Linked DNA regions of Arabidopsis thaliana. The protein of the gene in region 1 interacts with the protein of each later gene in a biochemical or structural test. Each region holds a gene or a part of one and is shown on either strand. Other genes may lie near its edges.

What was found.
Region 2: the proteins of CMT3 (region 1) and SIZ1 form a complex in vitro, tested with the Arabidopsis thaliana proteins (one study listed by BioGRID).

What each region holds. Positions count from the first base shown.
Region 1 is NC_003070.9:26,246,758-26,256,111, forward strand, and holds CMT3 (chromomethylase 3), read right to left. Parts: upstream 6,931-9,354; 5' UTR 6,763-6,930; coding exon 6,547-6,762; intron 6,418-6,546; coding exon 6,380-6,417; intron 6,263-6,379; coding exon 6,160-6,262; intron 5,646-6,159; coding exon 5,538-5,645; intron 5,452-5,537; coding exon 5,332-5,451; intron 5,229-5,331; coding exon 5,129-5,228; intron 5,018-5,128; coding exon 4,809-5,017; intron 4,719-4,808; coding exon 4,653-4,718; intron 4,577-4,652; coding exon 4,319-4,576; intron 4,227-4,318; coding exon 4,168-4,226; intron 4,086-4,167; coding exon 4,019-4,085; intron 3,787-4,018; coding exon 3,457-3,786; intron 3,380-3,456; coding exon 3,311-3,379; intron 3,242-3,310; coding exon 3,155-3,241; intron 3,067-3,154; coding exon 2,979-3,066; intron 2,872-2,978; coding exon 2,756-2,871; intron 2,650-2,755; coding exon 2,545-2,649; intron 2,466-2,544; coding exon 2,422-2,465; intron 2,326-2,421; coding exon 2,256-2,325; intron 2,103-2,255; and 5 more. UniProt on the Arabidopsis thaliana protein: Involved in the CpXpG methylation (e.g. CHG cytosine) and in gene silencing. Methylates preferentially transposon-related sequences. Functionally redundant to DRM1/DRM2 to maintain non-CpG methylation. Involved in RNA-directed DNA methylation.
Region 2 is NC_003076.8:24,292,968-24,300,760, reverse strand, and holds the start of SIZ1 (DNA-binding protein with MIZ/SP-RING zinc finger, PHD-finger and SAP domain-containing protein), read right to left. Parts: upstream 6,001-7,793; 5' UTR 5,726-6,000; intron 5,628-5,725; 5' UTR 5,536-5,627; coding exon 5,512-5,535; intron 5,244-5,511; coding exon 5,163-5,243; intron 4,944-5,162; coding exon 4,901-4,943; intron 4,792-4,900; coding exon 4,719-4,791; intron 4,625-4,718; coding exon 4,462-4,624; intron 4,298-4,461; coding exon 4,167-4,297; intron 3,860-4,166; coding exon 3,791-3,859; intron 3,548-3,790; coding exon 3,460-3,547; intron 3,381-3,459; coding exon 3,305-3,380; intron 3,094-3,304; coding exon 3,020-3,093; intron 2,891-3,019; coding exon 2,783-2,890; intron 2,300-2,782; coding exon 2,138-2,299; intron 2,034-2,137; coding exon 1,929-2,033; intron 1,846-1,928; coding exon 1,765-1,845; intron 1,682-1,764; coding exon 478-1,681; coding exon of another isoform or gene 461-477; exon of another isoform or gene 230-460; coding exon 94-229; coding exon of another isoform or gene 90-93; exon of another isoform or gene 9-89; coding exon 1-8. UniProt on the Arabidopsis thaliana protein: E3 SUMO protein ligase involved in regulation processes. Mediates SUMO/ attachment to PHR1, a MYB transcriptional activator controlling the phosphate deficiency responses.

The sequences.
Region 1 (9,354 bases):
TGCCAACGTACAATAAACATTCAAATACATTAGTTTTTAAATAAGCCAGAATAAAATGTGATAACTAAACAATCATACCGTACGTGTCTCGTTTGTTTTTTTTGGTTACCAAAATGCCAAATAGAACAAGTAAATATTAATTTAAAGAACGATGAATGAATCTATTTGTTTTTATATAATTATTACTCCATATATTTTAAGTTTATTTTTTTAAGGTATAAACACACATATTGGATAATTTCTTATTAATTCTTTCAAAAATATTATTTTTATTTAACCAATCATGGAAAAAACAGGAGAATATAAATTGTAACAAGTTATCAAATACATTTAAAATTGTATAGAAACTAGCAAAACATCTTATAAATGAAACAAAATAAAATGGCTTTAAAACATCTTATATTTTGAAATAGTGAGTATACTTTTTGTGAATATGAAGACATGATGGGAAGTTGAATAGATTATCATGAAGTTTTTGTTGTCATATATGTATAGATTCAGATTTAAACTTGTTAAACATCATCAACTCATTGAATTAAAGATAGATAATTAGTTCAGATCCATATAAAAGGAGATCGGTCAATTTATTGGAAGAAACTATTGCATACAACCACTAATTTGATTATATCCGAGAAAGATACAAAAGGGACGTCCACGTCTGTCCGAGTCATTCAATCTATTTTTATTAGTTACATAAACTCAACATATAACGTGATATTTTCACTTTCTTTAGCCTAAAATTCAGACTAGTATTTAAAACTAGTGATTAGGCCATAAGATCTATAATTAGGTGAAGATAATATATTAATGGACATTAACATATTGATAGGAACTAGGTATCCGTTTTATTACAATCTTCACACTATCAATATTATAGCGTGTTGGATTTAACTAGGAAGTTCTCGGAAAGTAAAGTAATATAACTAATCAACTTAATCGATGATGCATTTGTATTATTAATAGACCATGCCCGACAATAACGACGATGTTCGAGTAGTGGACCATTCTTGTATTCTATGCAATTTGATTAACTAGTGAGTGTTATATTATAGTCTTTTCTATGATCCATAAACATTGGTTTGTTCTCTATTCTAGTAAAAGTATTTGTTTTACTTCAAGTCTTTAACAATTCTGCTAACTTATTACTTTGATGCTTATTTTTGTATGGTTTTATTCATTCTTAATAACAATTTACCACATCGAAAAAGGAATGTATAGCGTTTTATGTAGAATTGTAAGTTAATGAATTCAAGTACGTTAGGCCAAAAACTTTTTTCCCGCTTAAGAATGTATAGTGTGTTTTATGTAGAATTGAAAGTTACTGAATTGAAAAAGATAGGGTACAGTTAATAATAGGCCTAACTTGAATTCATTCATAAGAGGCACAAAATGTTTACCAAAACAGATCACATTTGCAGTTCGGCCTATTATTAAATGGACCATATCTTAAAAGGCACAAAGTTTTTGTAGCCGAACGAATCCAACATTGCCTTTAATCAAGAAACAGTAATAAAACCGAACCGAAGATGAGTTCTCTTCTTAGACAAAAAGAACGAGAATCCCACAAATCCATAACATCTGATTAAAACAAAGTTACCAGAAATTCAGAGTTGCTAAACTTGAAAGTCGTGAAACTTAAACAAAACAAATCCAAATTCCGCAGCAAATGGTCTAAAGATAAATCCTAGGAAAACAATGAATAGAAGATAAATCGAAAAATGCGATGAATCAACAGTGTTCATGCAAGCTCGGAAGGAAGAGTTGGCTTCATGAATGCAAAACCTTCAGGCAGAGTAAGAAGTGGATCTTTCCCAACTGCGAGTCCCTGGAAAGCTGTTCCCAAAGCATATCCAAGGGCCTTCGCTACTGGCACAGCTACAGCGTTACCTACTTGAATGTACCTGAAAAACAGAAATTATGTAAGATTAGTCTTAAGAACTATAGCAGCAATAAATCCACCAAGAACACACATAAACTCAAGGTCTTAACAATACTCACTTCTGTTTGGGTGGGCCAAAGAGTTTGTAGTCATCAGGAAAGCCTTGGAGTCTCGCATTTTCTCGAATGGATAAAACCCGATTTTGCTCTGGATGAATGATCACCTGCAATCAATCACCAGCAACATCAAACAATTATACTCTTTAAGTTGGTTCCAGTGTAACATGCATACTAATAAATCTATGCAAACCTAGAACACTAGAATAACAACTAGCCAAAATTCAGAACAAATACTTGATTGTCATGAGAGGTCTCACCTGGTTGTGGGGTTCTGCCCGTGTGACAACAGTGGGGACAATTTCGTCCCACCAAAGACGACCAAAAGGTCTGGAAACAGCGAAGGGCTTAAGTCAATTTCCATAACAGAAAACAATAGTCAAATACAGAATTTTCAGAGACGAAGAAAAGAGAATTAAAACTCACTTGCATGATTTCCCATCGACATATGTTAAGGCATAATCGGGAACCTGTTTGAATAACATAGCCAGCCAATCAGGAGAAAAGTAACTTGATATGAGACCAAAAAAAAGAGATGATCATTCTTACCAATGTTTTTCCAGATTCAAGTTTGACCCTTTCCTTTCCCTCTTCCAACTTGACTACATTACCAGGTCCAACAATAACACCAGGAAAGTCCCTAAAATTCGCTCCCTGATACCAAAAGATGTTTTGAAATAATCAGAATATTCCTAGACACTAAAACAGACCAGAGCCAAAAAAATATATGATCGTCAATCGAGTATAAAGAAAGTTGTACCTTTCTCTTGGGGACCTGACAAACCCGTTCATAGTCATTTATATTAAGATTAAGAGGGTGATGATCATATAAGACATGCTTTTTGGACTTGGACTTTGATTGTGAACCTGACGCTTCTGTTGAAAAAATTCAGAAACAATTTGTTAATGAACATCAGTTGCCATAATAGTTGTCAAATATATGTTTTTACACTGTTTGCCCAAAAAAATAATAAGAATCTTACCATCCTTTCTCAATCTGATGAACTTTTGAAATGGCGTTGTGGGATCTTTGTCATATGTAATCTCGTCTCTTTTTTCACTGTTGGCAACCTAATACAAAAACATAGGAAGTAAGAAAATATTCAAGACAAACTGTACCTAATTTTAGTCAAAATTTGCTAAAAACATCAATACTTACTGCAGGAAGATCAGAAATCACATCCTTCAACAAAAGCTTGTCTGCTAACTTCACAGTATGTCCTTCATCATAGGCTACTATGTTTCCCTGCATTAGTTACAAATAAATATGAGAATTTGCTAAAACAAATTGAAAGGTACTAATATACCAGTTTACCTGAAACTCCTTGACAATATTTCCTCTATGAACTAGATCATGTGTTGGAAGTGGGAACTGCGGAATTATCTGAAACAGAAAGATACAAATTAAGAACAGCATCTATTCATTAATATAAAACAAAGAGAAAACATTAAGAATTTTACCTCACTAGGGAGTGCACCCCATAGAAAGAACCTCAAACGAAACTGAGCAAGCCCATAAGCTCCAGCTGCCATCATTCCATTCCTCACTTGGTAATTCATCTGTAGAAGGCGTCCAACAGCAAACCGTGCAAGATAGCCCTTAGCCATCTTCAGCATGTCAACGACGTTTTCCATCAAAACGAACTTAGGCTTCAAATATTCTACAATGTTCATATACACCAAAAGCTGCTTGTTTTTCTGATCTTCTAGAGGGTCCAATAAGTTCCTGAAGCGGTTGTGACCACTGATTCCTTGGCATGGTGGCCCACCGCAGACAACATCAACACCTCCCTAAACATCAACAACATATAAACAATGTCAGGATATTGCTCTAAACATCAACTGTTCTGTGACTAAATCTATCACCCCTCAACAATTAACTGACGCAGAACAACATAAGACCCATAGAACTTATCACATACAATAACTTAGATTATTGGCTTTTAGATTAAATATCTGAAAATTATGCACTAGCTTCAGAAGTTTAAGGAAAGCAAAAGAATCAGGTATAAAAAATACATACTGGTAACGGAAGGATGCCAGATTTATATCCAAGTTTAACGAACTCTTCAATTTTACCCCGGCAATTACTGTTCAAGGACAAATTTAGAGATTTTAACAACGCATTAACATATATAACTTTAATGCAAACATTCTTAATGTTTTGCTCACCTGAGTCCTTCAATAGGCTCCCATGTATCATGAGAATCATCATAATTCAGCCACCTTACCTATTATATCAAAACACCAGAGATGATTAACTATATAACAAGGCTAAACCATGAGATGTAATGTGAAATTTGTACAAGCAGAGCAACAATACCTTCAAATAAAGTCCACGTTTCAATAACTTTTTAGGGACTCCGAAGGAAATACCAACAATCTTGTCAACAGTAAAAACTTCTCCATCATCTTCATTTTCACTCTCCTCGCTGACATCTTCATTGTCCTCAACATTATTCAAACCGTGAAGGTTGGCATATTCTTCTGAATTTGGACTATTTCTCAAAGAGAAATGAATGCATAGCTTCTCCCACTCCTTAAGCAGAAACAAGAAATCTTCTGCGGTCATGTTTCTCACCTAAAATGAAATGATTTAGGCTCTTGAGAATTTCTGTAGTCAATCGAATTGGGAGAAAGGAAAACTAAAAACTTACGTTTGTCTCTGGGTGGTTATGCTGCAAGCTTTTACATGCATGTGCATTCATGTCAACAGCCCATTTCTTGAGAATCATTTTAAAAAAAAAGCAAAAGTTAAGCATTGAGAGATTAAACAAATCTGAGAAGATTATTAGCAAGCAAAAATGACTCACAGTGACGAGGTTCAAACCAGACAGTTGTGCACCCATGCACAACCCTGTCGACATAGCTCCACAGCCGGAGTAAAGGTCAAGCAAAGTTGCCTTTTTGTGACCTTCTGTTTCTTGAGAACATTCTCCAATCTCTGATATGGCAGCAGCTCCTTCTCTTATATCAGTATCACTGGATATTGTTGAACTTTCACTTATAGCCATCATGGTTTCTGCACAATTGAAAGATCTGTAAATGCTTAGTTATCTTCAAAAACTGCAGCATTTTATCTAATCCAGTTGGCAGTTTCTAAACTTGAAGATCAATTGTTAAAAGCACTAACCTTGTTGTATAGCTTCAAATGTATCGTAAGGCAAGAAATAGTTCATGTCACAGAAAAAGTCACAGTTTTCTGTTGCAGGGATAGTCTCTTTAGTATTTTCCTGGCATGAGAAACAAAAATAAGTTCAGTATCAATGGAAGATTGTACTAAGATACTGTATACCAAAAGCATACACTACAAGTAACAGTGAAGTAAGAACATACATTCAAGGGAATCATCAAAATGTTCAGCTTCTTTTCAAGTAATCCCAATTCATTTGTATCTTGTATCTCAGAGAAAAACACACGCTTTTTCTTGATCAGAATCTCGAACTCTTTCATTACCTGAAAGTTAAGAATAGAAAAAAAACTTCAGACAATTCAACATAGATTAAAGAGAAAGTGAAGAAGAAGATTTTTTTTATTCTTACAGTATCAGAAGGTCTATAAAACCACCGAGCCGTGAAATACAGTTTCCCATTAGCCCCTTCAAACATTTCAATGATTTTACAAATGAAGGGATCCTTTCCCTCACCAGACTGCACAAAAATTACAAAACTCAGTTGTTAAAAACAGAAGTTATATATGGTAAAGCATCTACCTACGCTGTACGAAAAACATAAAACAACATGATAAACGTTCATATAGCCAATGCATAATATGCAATGCCAGTCTAAATAACAATCAGCTAGTTATTGTTACAGATGAGAACTCAGCTTCGAAAGGTAACTACTATCATAAGGACTTGGAGATATACAAAGCATGACAAACAGAGACAATGCACAAATATTTATTGCGGACAGTTGATAGTGGTGAGGGAGGAGAATGTGATCAACTTTGGTTAATTATTTACCCTACACATCAAAATTTTCTACACAGTAAAACCATGTTGGCACATTAAAAAAGTGGTAAAACCTCAATAGTCATCAAACTCAAACACCAAGAAACACAATGTCATGCACATTCTCCTCTCTAACTCATTTTCTTCAATGTACCACATAAATCTACGCTTTAAAATGTAACAAATGCAATTTAGACGTAATAGAGTCATACCTGTACATAAGCATCATCATTCAGCTCATATATCTGACGCTCATCAACAATCGCACGTCTATAATGGCATCGAGCACGAATGATCTCAACTTTTTCGTCATCCCTACAAAACGAATTCACTTAATCAACTATTTACGAAACAAAAAACATTTCTAATCAAACAAAAGTAAAGCCTCTCAATCTGACTATACACAAGAACCAAAGGATTCAAGGAACTTACTTCGTCTTCTTTCTTGACGAAGCCTTAGGTGGCTGTACCTGAAACAAAACAAACAAAAAATCCTTCAGAAATCAACAGATCTGCAACAAATCTCAGCAAATTTCAACTAGATCTAACTATTTCATACACAAACACCCAAAATTCCAGTTTCCGATGTATGAAATTACCTCAATCGGTTTGTATCTGTCAGGCCAGGTACTCTTCGCTTCAGATTCTGGAATTGGCTCGTCTAGAAACCTCGCAACATGCTTTTCCCCTTCCTCGACCACTGTCACCGGCTCTTCTTTCACCGTCTTAGCTCGCTTAGGAGCTCTCTTCTTCGGTTTGGGAATGGATTTGGTAGTGTCATCCTTTGTCGCAGGTCTCTTTCGCTTCGGCGCCATGATTGAGTCAGAGAATCGAAGGAAGCTAAAGAGACGAAGGAAGATAAAGAGACGAAATGAAACCCTAGGAAGCGGGGGTGTGACGAGTGTGAGGACTAAATAATCTGAGATTGAGGGCGAAATAAGCGCGTCACATAAGCGCCAAAGTGATGGGTTTCGAAATTTTCGTGGAATTGTTTTATTTTTATAATGAATTTAAAACGTTTGGGCCTAATAAAAGTTTTGAGGCCCATCTCTTTCTCTCGCTATAATGAGTACACAAATGTCAAAAAAATTAGTAGAAAAGTTTTTTCTTTCTATATCTATCTATGATTTTAGTAAATGTGTTAGTGTGAATTTAATTTCGTTTGGAATTCTTCCCACAATCTTAGCTATCTATGATTTGTTTTTAATAAATGTTAAAAGATTACACAAATGGGTTCATTCCCGGGGTAGTCAACATCGACTCTACGAAAGATCTAATCATTTTTGGACAATTTCAGAATTTTTTTTAGCACTCTCCCTTTCTTACACATGAAGCACAAGTTGTAAAAAAGTATATGTTTTTTTTGAATATAATTTGACATTACATTAAAAAAAAAAAAAAAAAGATTACACAAATGTTCAGTTTTTAATAAATTATCACTTTCTATATTGGTTTGGAATTATTCCCACAATCTTAGTGATCAGGTCAATTTTGTATATATTTCCAGAAATAAACATATCAGAAAGAAAAAAAGTTACATTTCTAAATGACTCGCATTAAAGATGATGTTACACAAATGTTATTAGACATTATTTATTTTCCATATTTGTATATGATTTGTAACTATGTGTTTTGGATTTGAATAAATTCCCACAATCTTAGTGATCATATCAAATTTGTAGATCTTTCCAGATATAAACATATTGAATTATTCAAACACAATCGTATCCTATCTCCATGATTCTTTTATTTAATCCTACCAACATCAAGACTAGTAGTAAATTAGTTACTCGGTTACTCCACAAACGGCGTGGCGCGTAAGATAAAACTTTAGTGTGTAACGATGGAAATCTTTATGGAATTACACATTCCTATCAAAATTTTTTTTGTGTGGATAAAACTCCTATACACTTGGAACGACTAAACAACAAACCGAACGTGTGATCGTAATCTTGTTCATAATAAAAAAAAAAAAAACGTGCAAACGTGAAATGGTAACATGAAGGAGAACATGATACTCTTATTAGCTCCTTTATTCCAGGAAATCGAGCAGTGACATTATTTGCAAATAACTGAAATTTAAAGAAGAAAATACGTTAATCTCATCACTATTAGACCTGAAAATTACTCTAACTAGTAACTACTAATTACAATAACTTTTATATATATCCAACAAGGCAACAATATAAGTTTATATATGGACGTGTGTATAATTGTGTCCTTAAATATATTAGATTGAAGGCATATTAATGACGAGTGAATGAAAGAGAAGTGTACAAGAATAGAATAATATGGATGTCGAAATGAGAAGTAGCCTTTGTCGTGATGGCTGAAATTAGCCCAACTTTTGGGCCTTATTTCTTGTCATGGGTCCACTATGTCTTCTTTGCTGTATTTACATGTTTGTGTTTTGCAACATATGAACACCACCCTTTTCTCCAAAACTAGGAAAACATATATCAATTAATGTATTTCAAGTATTGACGTAAATTTTCTTTTTAAAATAATGAATACGAATGACATAATCATAGAGGATTTATGCAAGTGTTTGTATTAGTAGTGTCTCTGTATCACCATCTTGATCTAAAACATGTAGAATGCATATAGGCCTGAATAAAAAACAATAAACATGCATCACACACGCACACGTATATATATATTTATGTCTAAGTTTTTCATATATAAAGTATTTTACACTATGCAGCTAGTTCGCTAGGACTAGGAGTGGTGTGACACGAGAGGAGGGACATATTGTGACTTCTTGAAAACTACGTTGTTGGACTTTCCTGACTTTCATGTTGAGGTTTTGGGCGAGACATTTCCATTTGGATAAACAGTAATCGAAACATATGCTTTTATAGTGTCTGAAATAGATACGTCAAAGTTGGGTGATCATACCGAAAAAAAAAAACGACTATACAAGTTTTCCAAATTCGCTAGCAACTTGTAAGACTAGCCTTTAAATTCACATATCTAATCATACGCTATATTTCACTTCTTGATGATAAGAGTGCACATATATCGCGTCTAGTCAATCTTGTGAAGAATGGATCATAACAGTAAACAATATGAAGTATGGATAAAATCATACAACGTCGCTCAATCACCGCAAGTGATCTTTAGATTGATTGACCGTGCGATCTGTACCACACCGAATGTAATATAATGTATGAAATTTTTTTTTGTTAAGTTCTTCGAATGGATTAAAATGTATCTAGATGTTTACATCTTTTATGTTTTGCCAATAAATATAATATATACTTGAGTACTAAAAATAATTAGTTGAAATTAACAATTTTTACTCGTCTTCTAAAAACCAGATTGTTTATAACTTCTTTAATTTCTCTTTCCTTACCAAAAAAAAAAATAACTTTTTGGGTCATTCACATTCCATACAAAATAAAAAT
Region 2 (7,793 bases), on another chromosome or scaffold:
TCATTGTTCTGTGCATAGCGTTAAGAATCAAAAGGAACACCGAATCATCCCAAGAGAGACACAACAGAACAGACAAATCAGGAAGAATATTACTCAGAATCCGAGTCAATGGAGAGGTACATCCGAGGTCTTACAGAACGCTTCTGGCGAGGAAATGAAAATGGATTATCTGATCTTTGCTTCTTTGCCTTGTCTTGTCTACTGTCATTCATACCCAGAAGCAACGACGCTGCAAATACGCAGTAATAGTCAGTAAGTATACCACATGGACTATGGACATATATAAAGTAGCATATTCAAAGACAAAATACGCCACATAGAAACTAAAACAGATATTTCTTCTTCAGTTGTTTATAAGACCTAGCTAGCAGCTTAGTAAAGTGATGAAAAAGGTAATGCAACATCAAGAACATGGTCCACATTTTTAGGTCCCTTTGATGTTTTCAGGAAAGCATTAGTCTCAGACAGGGAACAAACCAGTCTCTGTTGTAGTATCCATAGAACCTTCCCTCGTAGACATCTGATGGCTTGAGTTAATCCCGTTTGTAGTTGCAGGATCTCCATGATTCCCAGAGGCGCTATCGCCTAGCCTAAGCGAGATCCAGTCTTCACTACGGAGACCATTTGACATATCAGCTTGGTTTTTAAAACCCGACTGAGCTGAAGCATCTGGTTTTGTTGGCAAAAATATTTGAAGTGAGGGATCGTCTCTACCAAATGCAAGAGGATTGTCAACTAGGCCATCGTTTGCTTCAGATCGGCCAGTAGAGCCAGGAACCACAGGAACAGATGCCATTGATGTCTCAGGAGCCATGGTATAACCTCCATTTATTTCAGGAGAACAGTTTAGTGGACTATGATGATGCAAACCAACTAAACCTCCTGAAACGTCAGCATCAGATCTAAATAGTTGGAACCCAGGGGCTTCTGGAGTTTCAGAAGGAAATGACCAAAGGGGCGTATCAAATTCATCATCATCATTGAAAAGACCTAAGCCTGAACTTCCCCCAGCTATGCTGTGTGGGTCCTCATTATATGAGTTAATTATTCCAGGAGGGTTCAGTGGAAAAGTAAGTCCACCATCTGTTTGACAACCACTGTATGCAGGCCCTGGAGTGATCACTAAATCATTCTCGTCATCAGAATCACTCAGAACGATGACTTCATTATTTCCACCCTCGCCAGATTGGTTTCTGTCAGGAAAGTTATAACCTGAATCAACATTCATGGAAATGGAATCAAGTTCCATGCCGTTGGCTACAAAGTCAAAAGTTCCAATAGCATCCTGGTTTACGCTTGCATCATCACCATCCCTACCACTTCCAGTAGCACTACTACTCATTGGTATAATATTCTTCTCCTGATACCCAACCTTTTCTTGCCTATTACTGGAAGATAATCCATTTGTATTAGGTTTGCTAACTTCCCAAATGCCATTACGATTCTTCCTTATTCCAAGTTTTAGCGGGGCTGGACCATCTGAGTAACCTTCTTGCTTAACCGGTAACATTTCCATCTTCCGTTTAATATCAACAGCAGAGGGGCAAAGGCTACCATCAGGTGCATGCCACTGTGAGAGTTCCCCCAGTTCCCTTCGCTCACTCTCTCTTTTGAACTTTACACGCCAAGAACCATCAGGTTTCACTTCAATTTCAGTCACCTCTTCATCACAATGCTTCATCTGTCGTGCAGGAAGACAACTACTGAATAAAAGCGTAGATACAAAGATTTTAAGAATTCTTGAATTCCCATAAGAATACATACCTTAGACGTGATACGGTTAAAATAAGGATCGACGATTACATGCTCCACTGAGTAGTTCTTCAGACAAATAGGGCACTGCCACTGCATGTTAACAAACCCCAGAACAACTAAAGTCAGAAAACAAGAGACATAACCCAATATCTAGACAAGGATAGTAGACCTACCTTTCTGGAACGTTGATTCAACTCCACAAACACATCAAGGTCAAAACAGCCCATGTGCACACAGGGTAAAAATCTCCCAGCAACTTTTATCCTAGAACCGCTCATCTAATGACGCAAACAGAAAAGACAATAAAAAAAATTCAGTCTGCAAGATAGCCCTAGGAAGAGGATAAGTATAAAAACTGGGCTACGAGCTATTAGTAACTTACAGGACACCGAAGATTGACACCGAAGAAATCAGCAACAACTTCAATGTCACTATCACTGTCGGCATTATCATCTCCACCTCCACCTCCAATGCATCGGCGGACACGTGCAAGAGCATCTTCAAAAGTCTCCCCTTTACCCTCTTCTGGAATCAAATTTAGAACCTAGATGCAAAAATGAGTATATATATAAGCAACTTGGAGATCATTAGATCATTAACGTACAATATGAATTCCTCTGTATACAAGAACACCAACAAAAGTGATAAATATATTGATTAAAGGGATAAATGTTGCAGCACAAGGACAGACTACACTTCCGTAACCAAATCTCATACAAGGCCAGGCTCAGTGGCTCATATACGTGAAATATAGGAAGAAGAATAGGACTGTGAAATTTGAAATCTGACTAACTTTTCTAGATTTAGTGGGAGTGGGAAATAACATGGGAATAGTTTAACGTAAGTGTGTAACCACAGGTAACTTCCACAAAATTACTTTCTTGGGTACGCCAACATAATTTATTCTTTCTTTTTGTATTCAGAATATTAATTTCGTTCCTTTTTGAACATTTATGTTTGGACTCTTCATTGACCACATATACGACCAAATCTTTGAATGTTTCTTATGCATATATGTTATCAGTACCTGTTGTAGAGTCCTGCGCTTCACAAGTCTGACCCCAAAACAAAAAATCCGAACGTCACCTCCACTCAAGGATATTCTGTTAACTCCATCCCTAATACAAGATGTAATCTGCCAAAATAGTAAAATGAAATGGTTAAAACTTACATCACTGATTGCTAGATTTTCAATGTATGAGAGATTGACTCCTATATGTAATTCAAAAGGGTTACTACTCAAAAGGGATGATAAAAAACACACAATGGGTCCATCGTCGCGGCCGTTGACTCCCAAAAGCTGTCCTCCAGGTCGATTAATTGCACGTACAGGCACACCTATGAAATGATAGGGTATATATCATGAATCCCACATCAGAAACATACACAGTCTTATTGAGTATGATCAGAATAACAGACAAATAAAGACAATGTGAATGTGAATGGAATGTGCCCACAGGAATTTATGCAACATGAAATAAAACAACATTCCCCTGTTTCAAAGGAAATGCTCAACCGACTAAAACTCTGGTCGATGTCATTGTCATACCATTGACCTGCAGATCAGCATACTGAGGCCACTGCATCCTAAAGAGAACTTTATCATTCAAGAGCATACACCAAGCCTAAACAAAATTGATTTCCAGTTAGAAACGTATAGGTAGATACACCTTGACATATTAAATGTAGTTTACAAAACCCAACCTGAACATCGTACTCTGGTTTGGCCAAAAGGTCCTTGTCTGCCCTTGTGATTTGAAATGTTCTCTCCACACTCTGCATTGTGCTTGCACTGAAAAGTTTTGGATCGGAGTATTAGTACAAACAAAAGCCAGTAACAGTATTTCTTCAGCAGGTGCTATGCATATAGCCAGGAAACAATTGTCATTCTTGAAACTAGAATGAATGTCTTATACCAGTTCCAAGTAGAAAATTTAAAGTCAAAGTGACTTATAAAGTACCAATTCACACAATAATGGCACTGAAAGTACACTCGTTCAAAGCAATAGCAATATCAAGAATATAAAATTCTTACCCATCATTTGGGATAGTCGTTGCAGTCAGCCTCACTGGAGAGAGTGGATGTGCCACTGTAACCCAAAATCTGAACAAGGAAACCATGTAGGAAAACCGTGAATAATCATGCTATAGGATATCCACAGGTGCTAATGTAAAGATAGGAAATAATATATAAAAGAAAATTGACAACTATGAAAACAGTACTAGAAGAAGAAGAACAATCAAACGCAAAGAAACTAGAATGCAAAGCATGTCAAATGTATAAATATGTCTTTCTTTTCAGTTATGGCAGGAAAGAATCATAAAGCAGTGAGGGAGGAACTCAGATGGAAAATCAATCACATATCAAACTTAAACTCAGACAGGAAAAGTAAAATCCTTGAAACACATACGGGTCAGCTCGAGTAAGTCGGCAGATTTCACAATAAAATGATTCCGGAAGTGGTGGATTCCCATCCATAGGCTTATCTGGGAGAATAACACAGCCAACATGCTGCCAAACATGGCATCTTGGATCCTCACACTGAAATCGGAAGAAAAAAAACAAAAATTACAGCCAGAAAGTATCACCAAACTTCACAAATGTAATCAATGATAAATACATCACACCATCGACCATAAAATACAAAGAAATTGTCTACAGTCAGCTCAAACAGGAATAAACGCAGTGAGTTCATCCCAGATTACCTGTATCATTGAGTCTGTTTCTAGCGAGTTTCCACAAACACATCGAACTTTAATTTCTGGTTGGAAGGGGTCTTCAGGCTCTCCCTTAACTTTCAGATTACTGGTATCTGAACTCACTTGTCCTTTTGATGCTAAATCACTTGCCCCAGATACTTGCATTTTCCTATGGAACACAATATAAAATTAATGGTAACAAAGAACCGCCACAAAAAGCATGGCATCTCCTAAGAAATCTATTGAAAGAAACGAGCACTCACCTATATGTATCGTCCACTAATTTGGCAACTGCTTCCTTTGCCACTGTATTCTTTTTAGACAACAACCTGGCAGCTGTCAGTAGGGAATGAAAACGGAAGCTTATTAGAAGAAGATGGCAGAGCTAGCAGTGACTCTTAATACACCAAAACGTGAATAAACAAAAGCAAGTGGTTCATATAACCTTGTTCATCAGAAAGAAGGGTCAAGATCCGGTCGACAAGTTCCTGCACAAGAAAATTTCAAAAAGAAGTTAAATTTTTTGGTGAAAGAATAAAACAGATAACACTCTTTGCAAGGTAATGTCTTAGATTTATCTTGGAAACTGCTATATAGCTCAAGACAGCAATAATTATCACCCAAAACATCATCTTCTCTACTATAATCATTCCAAAACAATCACAAACATAATCACGACCAATGGAAGATTAGAGAACGATACTAACCTGCTTCTTTCCCTGTTTCGAAAGTCCCAGCTGAGTGAGCACATCCTTGAGCTCTTTTATCCGAAAATATGAAAGTTTTTCCTGCAACCCACAACAAAAACACAACGTTAAGCTTAACTAGAGCAAGACTAAATTCAATAACAGCAACCACGAACCATAATCCAAAACCCTTATGAGATAAAGGATCGTTTTTTACTCCCAGCAATACAATCTAGATCATAAACAAAACGGAAAAGCAAAGCTTTTTTGAAACATCCACTCTATATACCAATCAACACATTCATAACAAGTTCAAATCAACAAAAATTATAAACCAACAAGCATCCATAGATCTTTCAGACAATAATACCTTACAATTAGCTTCCAAATCCATGTCTTCAACACCAGACACAAACAAGAACCAAAAGCTCAGTTCAAAACACACGAACCTAAACTCCAGCAATTAGTCTCCATACAGCAACCGATCTAAATTAACAGAAAAAAAAGAAGGAGTTACTGAAACGAAAACCCTTGAAATTCCAAAAGACAAGACCTTTAAAGACTATTAAACGGAAAATACAAACCATGAAATCGGATACTTGATCAAACCCTATCGAAATTGATAGGTTAATGAGAGAATTGAGATGATTAGAAACTAGGGTTTTCACAGCTACGATAAGATTTTCTTTGGCCAAGGAAGAGGAAAATAAAAAGACAACCAAACCCAGACGAAGAAAAATCGATCCGCCGAGACGAAAACAAAACAAGGGTTGCCGGACGAGTCGCCGATTATCAAATCCGGTTTAATTTTCGCGCAATACGTCCGGGTTTAGTTCCTGTGTGGTCACGTGCACGGTCGTCCCCCCCACCAATATTGACGTGTTTTTGACTTTCGGTTCTCACACCACTTATTTACGACCGTAACGGAGTCTTTGTTATTTTAATCGAATATTCCCCACGTTTTATGACATCAGCCGTTCGATCAGACCGGACCGGTTTGTTATATTTTAACCTCAATTTGTTTATTTGCCGGTTTATAGTATATATCAAATCAATTTGGAAGTTTATCATCCGAAAACATGGTTTTCCATATGTCTCTCATGGCATATGTAGATATTGTATTATTTGATTCTAATTCTTCTAAGTAAGAATTTGGAAACATATTTCATGTCTCTTTTCTTCATTTGTTTTCATTGAATTGACATAGAATGTACATTGAATTGACATTTCTCACCCTCGCTAAATTCATTGAGAATTGTGGCTCAATTCTTCCATATGTGCATTATAGTTAAACTACGAATAAAGGATACAAGTGAGCAAAACCCTACTTTCAAGTTTCAACTAGTAAATCTATCGAATGGATTGCTAGACCGGATAATTCATACTCATTACGGGATGGTTCGTAAAACATGTGGGAAATTATCTTATATATCCACCAAATATTTGAGGTCTCGTAAGCATGTGATCTTGCAAATTGATACGTGGACCAAATTAGATATTGGACACATTTATATGTTCTTTCTATATGTAAAAAGCTTCATTCCGTGTGGAGTTCATTTGTTACAAGAAATGAGATATTATAGATATCAAATAGCATGAAGCTCTTTCTTCAACACTATTTCTACATACAAAAAAAAACATTATATACCAATTAGTGGTGGACTTCTGGTGATAAGATTTGGCTTTTTATCTTTTTGGATGCTGTGTTTTGAACAATGACTTGTCGAGTTTGAACCAAATTTGGTGTTAACCCGAGATATTAAAAAAAGGTTTAATTAGACCTATAGATTTTCCTTGTTCTGCTTAATGAAGATTCTAGAGTAGTCGTGAGCTGGTCTCATTGACTTGATATTTTTTTTGCTTCTAATGGAATGAGATATCTTGAGTTCATGATGTGGATAGTTTTCAAAGATTTGTCAACCTTTTCGTCTTAACATTTTTATATGTCCCTTGTCAAAGGCAAAGAAACATATCGAAAGTAAAAGAAAAGACATTTTTTTCTTGTGGGTGAGAATCAAACCAAACTTGTGAGAATTCTGCAAACGTACACAACTCTTAAATTGATAAAGCTTTTCTTGAAACTTTCAGGCTGAGGATGTGCTGCTAATCATGTGAGCTCCTTGCTGAGCTAACATTCAAAAGACCAAAACATATTTGAGCAAATAGCAAGAACCTATCTTGGAACAGATTATCATTTTAGGTAAGAGAAGACGATCTAGAGGCTCAAACCAAGGTCCTCTACGGAGCAGTTTCATTGTTTTTATGGTGTTACTATGTAAGTAGAAAGAGAATAGTTTATGAATATTAAGATGCATCTTTGTTAGAGGGTGATTATTGAACAACTGAAATACCTTGATCTCTCCGTATTAAGATGCATATATAAGGATTGCTACGTAGGAGAGATACCGTCACCACTAGTTAACTTCTTAGAAGAGGTGATGGCGCTATCTCTCCTGCGAAGCAAATCTTTATTTGCAGTTTTAAAACCATAGAAGAAGCAAGACCACTTGTATGTGTAATCACTCTATTAGTATCACCTCATCCATATATATATTATTACCTTAAGGTCAAAGAAGAGTGGACTTAATTTACACTGTCACTATCTTTGCTCTTAAATCATAATTGTCATTTAGTTTGCTGCTTTCTATGTGG